Linked DNA regions of Coturnix japonica. Each later gene encodes a partner of the first gene's protein in a complex. Links are inferred from orthologs where the notes say so. Each region holds a gene or a part of one and is shown in the gene's direction. Other genes may lie near its edges.

Region 1 (6,268 bases):
GACTTTCGAAGAGCAGAGCGATGGGGCGGCTGTTCTGAGAAGCAGGAAGATCCTTGTCTGCTTGTGTGATTGCAGGACACCTTGATGTCTGCCTCCTCACACGCTTGGTTCTCCAAAGGAAAGCAATTCAGTCCAGAGAGGGCAGTGTTCTGGCCAGTGTCAGCCACCCGTCCATTCACCTCTGCTCGCCTATCAGCCTGCTCCAGAGCACGAGGAGATTCCTTCTGGTGTATGCCATCAGTCCACTCCTCACTGCAGCAGCCCTTCTCAGATGGCTCTTGTGTTGTCTTCTGGCTTTGAGTATCTCCCTCCTCTCTGCAAAGGCCACACGGGCTGCTGTGATACGTAAGAGCATTTCCTGAGCGCCAAAACCCAGCACTCATACTCAAAATGAGAACAAGAAGAACCGTGTCAGGTACAGGCCAGGCACACATGGACACGTGGCTGACAGAGCCATGGTGAATCAGCCGGTGAAGGAGTAAAACCAGCGAATGCCTGATGGACTGGTCAGAGGAGAGGAGGTGCTGGAACTTCAGGATCCGCAATGAGCTGGCCAAGTTCTCAAGCACTTTTTGGTTGCGCTCCGCAACGAGCTCCACCGCACCCTGCAGCATGTTACACAGAGTAAGCTGGCTCACATGGGGTGAGCTGTGGAGCAGCGGGGAGAAATGATGGTCATTGAGGCGCCAGTCAGAGGAAACATCCAAGACACCATGAAGAACGTTTGAGAAGAACGTTTCAAAGAACTTCTTCTTCCAGCAGCGGATATTCTGCAATTAAACCATCTTAGAGTCAACCGGGATTAAAAAGTGGAAGTAAAGGCTGTGCTAACAAAGAGTCAGCCACCATCTTTGAATCAAATTACCACACAGGTATCCAACACGTGACTTCAGCACACGGAGGTTTAACCCTGATACAAGATATTGTTTTTACCTTCTGTTCCCCTAAAGAAATGCATCTGTAAAGCCAGTTTTCTTCTTTCAGCACACTTAATGACGTGATATCAAGGCTGTGTACAGCTCATCCCTCACAACAGATGCTTATTTCCCATAGTCAAACTTACACAAGAGCCATGCGTTGGTCTCAAGCTCTACAAGTGCCCAGCAGCAGTGTGACATTGAGTAAAAGCAGAACCCATGTGTGTCAATGCAGTTTCCTCACCTCTGAGTTGGGGGGTCTGGTTTTCATCACATCATCCCACAGCTGGCGCCAGATGGGCTGCGTGGACAGCCCTGGAAAAGAAAAGAAACCAGGTGCTGCTCTCAGCCTTTCTTCCTCAGCTGGAAGCCCCGCTCGGTGCTCCCACAGCGGGCAATGGAAGGAGAGGGGGTGCAGGGTCAGACTGGGACAAGGAACGTGCTCAGAGTGCGATGAAGTAAATGGGTTCATCTCTCAGTTACTAAGATCGCCCCCTTTCTTACCTGCTCTCCTCGCGGCGGCCTCGGCTCTCTCCAGCCGGAACACGGACAGCAGCGGCAGCAGCCCCCGCAGGAGGTGTCCGGGCAGCGCTGAGGAGAGCGAGAAGGAGACGGCAGCAACGTGCAGGCACCCGACACCCCGCACCACCACCCCGCGCCTTACCCCACACGTCGGGCTCTAAGGCCGCCATACTGCGGCTCACGGCCGCCGCGCTCAGCGCCTGCAGCGTGTCAGGCCGCTCCGCCGACATCACCCCGCTCGGCGCCGCCATGTTGGGAGGACCCGGCCCCGCCTCCTCGCTCCCACCGCCATTGGGGTGAGGGGGAAGAGCAGGCGGCCATCTTGAGATCTGCGCTTCCGGAGCGTAGAGCGGCACTTCCGTCGAGTGACCCTGGTGAGTCCTGGTGCCGCCATGGGGCTGCGGGACGCGGTTGTTCACGCCGGAGAACCCGAGGTGAGCGGAGCCGGGCGGGGCTGAGCGAGGGGACGGGACGAGGCCTGGGGTCAGAGCGAGCGGTAACGGCTGTGCTGTGCTTTGTCCGCAGGAGGAAGAGGAGGAGGAGCTGGTGGTGAGTCGGGGCGTGAGGGCCTGTGGGCACGGGGTGGGTCCGGGCTGCTAGCTGGGCCTTTAAAACGAAGGAACCTGTGTTAAACCGCCGCCTTTCGGGCTGTCTGTGCTTATATCGCGTCCATAGGACCCGCTGACCACTGTGAGGGAGCACTGCGAGCAGACCGAGAAGTGCGTGAAGGCCCGGGAGCGGCTGGAGCTGTGCGATGCACGGGTGTCCTCGCGGTCCCACACGGAGGAGCAGTGCACCGAGGAGCTCTTCGACTTCCTGCACGCCCGGGACCACTGTGTGAGTGCTGCACTGCTGGGTGCATCCCTATAGGAGCTGAGAGGCTCTTGTTGTGCTCCTGAGCTTAAAGCGTCTCCTCTTCCAGGTTGCCCACAAACTCTTCAGCAAGCTGAAGTGAATGAAGGAGTGATCATCCATCTGCTTCCACAGTCCAAACGAAGAGCCTCGTTGGTTCGCAGTTCTGCCTCTTTATCGCCAACGTGAAGTATAAACCAAGTGGCTTCTTGGCACCGACCGAGCACCAGAATGTCATTGTGTCTGTTCTCATTGCAGCTGCACATCTTCATAAAAAACATATGGATGTTCTGTAATTTTCCATATTAAACATACAAAGTTCCTGTGGAAGTGCCCTTGGTTTATTTCGTAGTCCTTGCAGCGCTCATTTGTACTGGTATGGAGTTAGGATGAAAGCAGTGAGGCTCAGAGCCCACCCCACCTGCTTGGATCCACACACTTCACCCCTGTGAGGTGAAGCCATTCCTGTTTATTGTGCTGCCCTTATTGCTAATGGAGCTTCTGTTGTCACCTCTGCGTTGTGACCCAGAGCAGCTGTCCATGGGGCTGCATGTGGGCACGGTGGTGGTGCCATCCGAGTCTGAGTGCTGCTCTGCTGTAGCACCACAGTGAGCAGTAGCAGCAATACAATCCTTATACTGGGGATTCTCAAGCTCAATCCCTATCGGCTCCAAACAGTTCTATTCGTGCAGCTTGCAAAGCCCTGCATCTGAGCGGCACCGCAACGTTACCGCGTGTCCCCGGCCGCCTCCAACCAGGGGCGGGCTGTGAGCTCCGGTCCCGCCCCGGAAGGCGCTGCTGAGCGCAGCCATGGCGGCACCGGGCGGCCGGGCTGTGCTGCTGCGGAGGGTTCGTGTGCTGGGGCTGAGCCCCGTGTCCCGGCGGTACCTCTACAAGAAGAAGTGGGTGAGAACCGGGGCAGCTCCGCGCTTTTCTTCCCTCTGATCTGTCCGTCCCCTCGCTGTGCCTCCCCCATCGCACCTCCTTTTTCTGTCTTTCATCCCCTTTACCACCCCCCTTCCCCCAGCACTGTTGCTAATGCACTCTTTCCCCCCCTCCCCATTACACCCATCGCGGCTCTCATTGCACCCTCCTACACTCCTTCCTTTATCCCATCTTACACCCCATACACCTCTCCCTGAGTCCACCTGCCTTTCCCCTCCCACATACCAGCCCCCAGCTCCGTCTTTTGGTCTCCCAGTCCCTTCACCCATTGGATCTCTCTTTCCAAAGGCCACCACCTCCCCTCGCATCCCGGCCACCCGCCTGGCGCTGCATCACTTTGACACCACGTACAGTCTGCAGCTGCAGGAGCTCTGGCCGGCCGTGCGAGCAGCAATGCTGTGCGAGCAGAAATACGGCGCCCTGCTCAACAACTTCACCTCTGCCGACCTCGTCGCCCAGCAGCTGGAGCTGCTCGGTGCCACCGATTTTGTTTCTGAAGCTGCCAGAAGGGATCAGTGTTGGCAGGAAAGTGCAGGGGTAGAAGCAGAGAAGAGGAAAACCCTGGAGGGGTCTGGTGGAGATGGGCCAGCAGTGCCAGCAGAGACGTCACCGCTGCTTCGTGCCTCTGTCAGCTCCAACATCAAGTGCTACACCTTCCCCAGGGGCGACATCTCACGCTTCCGTCCTGCGTGGTGAGATGGTTCGCCTGCTATTGACATTGAATAGTGCCGACCTATATCCAGCCAGGCTTCTATAGTGCTGTATTAACTGCCCCACATCAGGGGCCCTAGACAGTCAGAGCTGGTAGGGGGGCACCCAGCCCACAGCAGGGGTTGGAGCTGGTTGATAGATCCATAAGGTTCCTTTCAACTCAGCTATGCTATGATTCCACGAGTCTGTGTTTCTATAACTATTCCTGCTATGAACCAACATTGCTAGTTGTAATACTGTAATCTATAATGTGATAGTAGCGGGGCGGCACAGTCTTAGGCTTCAGCAAATGAGAACAAGCCCAAATACAGAAACAAAGGAAGAAAAAAAAAAGCTTCTTACCTTAGAAGTTCTCCAGAGAGACACCCTCACCTCCACTGCCAGCCTTTAAATGAGGGCTGTAAAGGAGTAGATCCTGGCTCCAACCCTCCCAGTCACTCACCTGGTGTGAGTGCATTGCACGCACCTGAGCTCCCCTGGGTTGGCCCTGCCTTCCCACCAGGTGCCCCATCACTGCTTCAAGCTGTGACTTAGCATTCCTGCTACACCAGCATCAAGCTGTTAGCACCAGCTCCTTTTGGTTATACCCATCGTAGCTTCCAACTATATATTTTTCTTTGTTTTCTATATGCAAAATGGTGGTTTCCAGGCCAGACTCTCTTGGGATCCTCAGCTACTATCTCATGGATGCAGCATCCCTCCTGCCCGTTTTGGCCCTCAATGTGAAGCCAGATGACCTCGTCCTGGACCTCTGTGCAGCTCCAGGTGGCAAGACGCTGGCTCTGCTGCAGACTGGGGCTTGTGGTAAGTGGAGGGGAGTTAGTAAAGCTGAGACTGAGAGTGCAGGGTACATGGCGATACCTTTCTGTTCATCTTTTCTGCTTATAGGAGTTGGTGTGGTTTTGTTTTCCAGGGTGAATTTCTCAGCATGCTGTTTCCCATCTCTCACCTCAGGGTATCTGGCAGCCAATGATGTCTCCATTTCCCGAACAAAGAGGTTGTATCACATTCTCAATAGCTACATTCCCAAGAAGGTCAGGGAGGCTGTGAGCGTTACATCGCATGATGGAAGGGACTGGGGGGAGCTGCAACGTACAACTTTTCATAAGGTGAGTGACTGGAAACTAGTGAAGGGAATCATATAAATGTTGGGTTGTAAGGGACCTCAAAGCCCATCCAGTTCCAGTCCCTGCTGTGGGCTGGTTGCCCCACCACTTTAGGCTACCCAGGTCCCCATCCGACCTGGGGCACCCCCAGGGACGGGGCACACACAGCTCTCTCTCTATGTCAGCACCTCACATCTAGCTTAGTTTTTTCCTGTTTCAAAGTGAGACAGCAGCTTACCCAACAGTGTGATCGTGTAGTTTTACATAGCCTGATACGCTGAACAAGAGCTAAAGCTAAGCCAATGATAGAGCAGTATTTCATCTAGCTATACCATTCCTCCAGGACCTGAGAGTATGGGCATTCTGAGTTGTACTTTTATCTGGTGGCATAAGCTAGGCAACGTACAGAGGGCTACATTTGTGTGGTGTGGTGGAAGCATTGGGTGAAGTGATGGTGGGGGATTTCTGAGACAGACCAGGGCCCAAAGCTGATGTGGGATCTGTGCTGCTCCAGGTCCTTGTGGATGTGCCCTGCACAACAGACAGACACTCTGTCATGGAGGAGGAGAACAACATCTTCCACAAAATAAGAACCAAGGAGCGTCAGATGTTGCCAATGCTGCAGTTACAGCTGCTGATGTGAGTGAGCTTGAAGCTGTTTTGTTGCTGTATGTATTAGCACTGAAACCTCTTCTTACTTCACATGTGCCTAGTCAAGAGCTCTCCCCACTCCATATGGGTTATGTACTGGCACACACAGTTATTATAGTGCTGTTATCCCATGCTTTCTTCTTCCTCCCCTGGTGGTATGTTTGTTTTATCTTGTCCATAGGGCTGGGATCCTTGCTGCCAAACCAGAAGGAGAGGTGGTGTACTCCACGTGCTCCCTCTCTCCGCTGCAGAATGAACATGTGGTTGAGAGAGCGATAGACATCGCAGAAACTCAGTTCAACATCACTGTCCACGTTGAGGACCTGAGCCACTTCCGAATGCTCTTCCAGGACACGTTTTGTTTCTTCTCAGGTTGCCGGCTGGGGGAGCTCGTTCTTCCTCACCTCACAGCCAACTTTGGGCCTATGTATTTCTGCAAGTTACGCCGAGAATAAGGGATGAAAGGTCTGGGTTTGGGGCAGCTCAGCTTTCCTCACTGTACATCTCTGGGCTGTCGTGTTTGGAACTGATGTTGTTTCCCTTTTGCTGGTTATCATGACATAC
Region 2 (5,142 bases), on another chromosome or scaffold:
TACAGTCGTCATTTCCAGCCTGGATGAGTTGTGCTGTGACTTGGTGTCCTTCCCTCGTCTCTCATAGTATGCACGTCAGCTTCCTAATTCTCCATACCCACCTCTCAACTAAAAGCTGCTCTTTTGGAGAGCTTGTATCAAGTTTTGTTTAAATATTTAGCAGTTTCAGGTTATGGTTACATTCCTTAGCACACAATTATGTTGTTGCATTTGGAACTCATGCAAGCTTGTGTATCTCTGTGTAGGTACCGCGGCCCTGAGCTGGAGATGTGGTCACTTGGTGTCACCCTTTATACCCTCGTATTTGGAGAGAATCCTTTCTGTGAGCTGGAAGAGGCCATGGCAGCTGTCCTGAATTTTCCTCGCCTTGTGTCCAAAGGTGACTTTTCTCCCATTTAAAGGAAAATACGAGCAGAGAAAAAAGGGGAAAACGGTTCCAAATGTCCTACGCAATGATTTAAAATGCTGTTTTCTGAAGCAGAGAAATTCTGCTCTGCAGTTCTCTATGCCTGCAATTCAGCTACTTACTGCCTGTCTTATTAGTTTCAAATTCCAGTCCTCCCACTTACAAAGATGATTCAATCTATTGTTTTGTCAGAATTCAGTGAGGTTTATGCTTGAGAAAAGCAGAACAAGGCCTGCTGGGAAGGCTGACTATAGGACATAATGTTCAGTCAATAGAGGCACTTGTCTAACTCTAATGCAAGATTTATCTCACTTGAACCAACTGTCAAGTGACAGAGTGTCACTCTGGGGATGTTTGATGATCATCTCTTAGGATATGATTTCTTAATGAATCGTATATCTTGACATCATAGGAAAAACTCATTGCCTCCTGCTTTGAGCTATAGGAAACCAGGTGTGCTGGGCTCCAAAGCAGTTTGTTAGGGCTGCCTCTGTGGCATTTGTTTCTCTGTCCTCGGGGTCAGAACTGCTCTCTGTTCTTTCTTACAACCCGGAAATCCCATCATCCCAGGAGCTGAGCACACGTAAGTGCTTGTGAATAGAGCTGCAATAGAACAGGATGGTACAAGAGATTAGCAGGGAGGATTTGTAATTGAGATCTGCGTTCTTTTGAATATTAATCATATCTTGCATTCCCAGCATGCCTAAAATCCAGGCTGAGCTGTTTGTCTCTTCCCAGATCTCATGAATCTGATGGTGGGGCTGCTGCACCCCGCTCCGGAGCAGCGCACAACTCTAGAGATGCTGGTGGAGGATCCTTGGCTGAAGCAGCCTGTGAATCTGGGTGATTACAGCTGGGAAGAGGTGTACGTCTCTGCTGGGGCAGGTGAGATGTTCTGAAGGCTTTTCCTCCCCCACCATGGGGAGGGTTTATAAGACAAGGTTTGCCTGTGGTTAGCAACGTGCTTTTACCCAAAGGCAATCTTTTGCTAACCACGTGTGCTTTGAACTTGACCCATTGACCAGTGGGGCCTACGGTTCATCCCTCGCTGTTGATCTTTCTTTCTAGACAGCAATGGATTGAGCAATGGTTCATACAGAGCCAGCCCCTCAGCTCCCGGTGTGTGCAGTGAGCCGTGCCTGAGCGCTCCCAGCTGTGTGTGCGCACATCGCCCCTGGGAAGGAGCTGCAGCCGGCAGGGGTCAGGGCTGGAGCCTGGGCAGTCGCTGCAGCCGCTCCCTGCAGCAGCCCCTGCCAGTGCAGCGCTGACTGCCTGGCTCTTTGTTTAGCCCCTGGTGTGCAGCTCTCACCCTGGTCCCTTTTGTGCCTCCTGTATGCAAACCCTGGTTGCTCAGTAGTGTAAGTTGTGACCCTTTTATACACTGCAGCCCAGGGTCTGCCCCTTGCTTGTGGCTCACAGCAGCTGTGTCAAAGCTGTGTCCAGCTGACAGGGTTGTAATTATTCTTACCTAGAATGGGTTTTTAAGCCGGGAGAGATTTGGGTTGGGGTTTTATTTTGTCTTCTTCTATTGTTTATAGCTCAGAATATATTTGTATTGGCTGTTTTTACTTTTATATGTAGTTTTACTCTTTCAGATAAAAAAAAAAAAGAAGAATAACCACGTGTACTGTGGTCCTGTTGGTTAACTGCGCCCTGGATGTGGCTGCGGGCAGCCTGTGCTGTTGGTGCAGGGTCACCAACACAGCAGTGGGTTGGAACTGATGGTCCCCTCCCCCTGTATTGAGGCGGCTGCGCGGTGCTGGGCTCCTCCCCGAGCCATGGCGGTTCGGCTGCTGGCTGTGCTGCGTATCGCCGCGCCCCGTGCCCTCGTCCCGGTGCTGGTCCCGTCCTCCCGGCCCCGCTGCTGCACGCCGGGCTCGGAGCAGGGCGATGCTGCGGAGCTGCTGGCCATGGGCTTCAGCCAGGCGCAGGCCCGGCGGCTCCTCCTGCTGCAGCCGGGGCTCGAGCCGCAGCGGCGGGTGGACACGGCGGCGCAGCTGCTGCTGCTGGGGCTGAGCGCGGAGGCCGCGCTGGGGCTGATGGAGCGGAGCCCGAAGCTGCTGCGGATGGGGAGCGCGCAGCTCAAGGAGCGCGCCGGGTACCTGCGGCGGCTGGGGCTGGAAGGAGGTAGGGCCGGGGATGGGAGGAGGCCGGGCCGGGAGCGCCCCGCTCAGCCCGTGTCCCCGCTCAGCCCATATCCCCGCTCAGCCCATATCCCCGCTCATAGCCCGGCTGCAGAGCTTGACGGGCCGCTGCCCCGAGGTGCTGACGCTGCCCCGGCGGAGGATGGAGGCGGTGGTGCGGCTGCTGCGGGAGCGGTGCCTGTTCACGGCCGAGCAGCTGGCGGAGCTGCTGCGGAGCTGCCCCCGCGTGCTGCTGGAGGAGCCGGGCCGCGTGCAGCTCCACTTCCAGGTGCGGGGCGGAGCGCCGGGGTTGCGGGCACGGCCCGGGCGGCGCTGAGCTCCGTGTGCCGCTGAGCTCCGTGTGCCGCTGAGCTCCGTGTGCCGCTGAGCTCCGTGTGCTTCCACGCGCAGTACGCGTACTTCAGGATGGGCGTCCGGCACAAGGAGATGGTGAAGGCCCGGCTGTTCTGCACGCCCTTCGCCGAGCTCAGGAACCGCCACATCTTCCTGGAGCGCCGGGGGCTGTACCGCACCCCGCACAAGGGGCAGAGCCAGAGCGACAACCCGGCGCTGCGGGACGTGCTGCGGCCGGACGACGGAGACTTCGTGGCCGGCACAGCCCGCGCAACAAGCCAGGAGTACGAGGTGTTCAAACGGCTGCTGGCACGGGAGGAGGAGGAGCAGGAGATGGAGGAGGAGGAGGATGAAGAGGAGGACGAAGAGGAAGAGGAGGGCAGTGCTGCACTGCACGCACATGGAGATGACAAGGACCTGCCCAGCACCGAGCCCTCCCGAGCTGCCCCGCGTCCCCCCCCAGCTCATTGACCAGCTGCTCCACACAATATAGCGTTTCTATAAAGTGTTTTTATTTATTTATTAAAAACAAAACAAAACTGAACAAAAAACAACCCCCCTCCCCCCCACTCCGAAAATAAAAACACCAACACCCACGGAACCCCAATAACTAATTTCTTTTAAAGACTAAGTTAAAACCTTTTGGCTGTGTTTCGTGCTGTGCTGGAGGCTGCTGTCTTAGCGCTGCAGGGAGGGCAGCTCCAGCGCAGGGCAGCAGAGGGGCCAGGCCCCGCTGTGGGGCACAGCCCAGCCTGCTCCGGATCCTTAAGCTCACAACCCCAGGGGCTGGTTTTCCAACGGGAGGATCCCATTGCGGCCACAGCCTTAGAGATAAACAAGGGCTCCACCTGCAAACCTGGTTCTCCCCATGGCAGAAGCATCCCCAGCGCTGCAGGGCACCCTGCTGCTTACCCAGCGCTCAGACAGGCACTGCAGGGCTGTCCCCCCTCCTGCCAGGGACACAACACTATGTAACTACGATATATCTCTGGTACGTATTAATTTATAATATACACCGTGTATGGCAATACACAAATCTATGTTTAACTAGCATCGTCGTACAAACTCACAACAACTAGGAACGTTTCTAAGCTACTTTTTTTTCCCCCCCTCCTCTTCTTTGCTGGCTCTGCTACAGTCACCGGGGGACCCACAAACAGCGCGGGGATGGCAGCAGCCCCACTGGGTGACAGGGTGCAGGGGGGGGTGGCACCTTGTGCTGTGTCACACTGAGCGCAGCATCACCCCCTGCTGCCAGCCTGCCTGGTATAGGCGAGGTGCTCCATCACTTTCTGAGCTGGAAAGGTGGTTAAAACCACACATTGTTTATAAAACAAAGTAAAGGACAACCAAATGGGGGCAGTGGAAGCTGCCTGGGTGTAGGGAACAGATGTAAAGACCTCCTCCCCACCAGACCGTGGGATAGCTAAGGCTTTGGGGTCCATGTTCAATTGTTTTATTTGGGGGTTATAGGTAACTTCTTATAACCTTGGGTTATGAAAACAGGTTGGTAGAGCTGCTGGTGGGCTCAGCCTGTTGGGTCCAGAGCAGAGCCAGAAGCCCAGAGGGGCTGAGGGACCCCCAGGGGTAGGTAAGGCAGGGCAGGGCAAAGGCACTGCTGGTCTGGCAGAGAGAAGGCAGCGCTGCTTGGATGTCAGTCTGGCTGCGTGTCCCTAACGGGCTGGAGGAGAGGGAGTGGCTGAGGCCAGGCAGGAGGGTGGCCTGGCTGCGTTCAACCCAGTGAGCAGATCTGATCTTCCTGGTGTTTCAGAAGCCCTTAGATGTGACAGGATGAAGCTCCTACTGCTTTGAACCCTGCAGAGGGGCAGGAGGAGAATGAGCTGGTGTGCAAAGGGCCCCCAACCCCCAAAAGCCCATCCAGCTTGTGCCAGCCTTGGCCTGGGACCTGCCCCCCTTCAGAGCTTCTGCCTGTGCCTGGAGCAGACACTTACACTATGGCTTCTTCAGTGTGTGACTGTTGCTTCGTCTTCTGCAAGGGAAGGAAGGAAAAGACCCCTCAGTCCTGCAGCACCTCACCCATTGCTCCCACAAGGCGCTAACAATGCAGCCTTGAGGTACAGGAGACACAGTGAGTGTGCACATGCCTCATGAGCTGCCCTGCACCCCTCCCTGCCCACAGCACCCCAGGGCCCACACTGTGACCCCCAAGCAGAGGGAGGGCAGTGTTTCTGCTGGCTGTACCTGCTGGTGTTCTTGGAACCGGTGCTCTCGCAGCTCTCCTTGTAGCATACATCCTGG

What was found. The genes of interacting proteins can lie anywhere in the genome.
Region 2: the proteins of NSUN4 (region 1) and MTERF4 are in contact, whole or in part, in a crystal structure (PDB 4FP9), measured with the Homo sapiens proteins. The link is inferred for Coturnix japonica from reciprocal best matches to the Homo sapiens genes NSUN4 and MTERF4. Residues at the interface, in NP_950245.2 of Homo sapiens: Pro61, Ser62, Arg64, Val65, Leu68, Ser69, Glu70, Arg136, Gly137, Asp138, Ile139, Arg141, Asn367, Leu368, Met369; in NP_872307.2 of Homo sapiens: Tyr267, Glu269, Arg270, Leu271, Gly272, Arg273, Glu311, Glu312, Val315, Phe316, Lys318, Leu319, Arg322, Glu323, Glu326.

What each region holds. Positions count from the first base shown.
Region 1 is NC_029523.1:19,165,041-19,171,308, forward strand, and holds the start of NSUN4 (5-methylcytosine rRNA methyltransferase NSUN4), read left to right. Parts: upstream 1-2,733; 5' UTR 2,734-3,101; coding exon 3,102-3,197; intron 3,198-3,524; coding exon 3,525-3,928; intron 3,929-4,596; coding exon 4,597-4,751; intron 4,752-4,901; coding exon 4,902-5,056; intron 5,057-5,567; coding exon 5,568-5,692; intron 5,693-5,885; coding exon 5,886-6,159; 3' UTR 6,160-6,268. Other genes in the region: LRRC41 (leucine-rich repeat-containing protein 41), read right to left, coding at 1-770, 1,162-1,232, 1,422-1,508, 1,582-1,690; cytochrome b-c1 complex subunit 6, mitochondrial, read left to right, coding at 1,832-1,873, 1,965-1,988, 2,115-2,276, 2,362-2,394. UniProt on the Homo sapiens protein: Mitochondrial RNA cytosine C(5)-methyltransferase that methylates cytosine to 5-methylcytosine (m5C) in various RNAs, such as rRNAs, mRNAs and some long non-coding RNAs (lncRNAs).
Region 2 is NC_029524.1:3,757,761-3,762,902, reverse strand, and holds MTERF4 (transcription termination factor 4, mitochondrial), read left to right. Parts: upstream 1-2,097; 5' UTR 2,098-2,127; coding exon 2,128-2,533; intron 2,534-2,633; coding exon 2,634-2,818; intron 2,819-2,940; coding exon 2,941-3,354; 3' UTR 3,355-3,423; downstream 3,424-5,142. Other genes in the region: PASK (PAS domain-containing serine/threonine-protein kinase), read left to right, coding at 246-379, 1,145-1,291, 1,475-1,674; SNED1 (sushi, nidogen and EGF-like domain-containing protein 1), read right to left, coding at 4,837-4,873, 5,086-5,142. UniProt on the Homo sapiens protein: Regulator of mitochondrial ribosome biogenesis and translation. Binds to mitochondrial ribosomal RNAs 16S, 12S and 7S and targets NSUN4 RNA methyltransferase to the mitochondrial large ribosomal subunit (39S).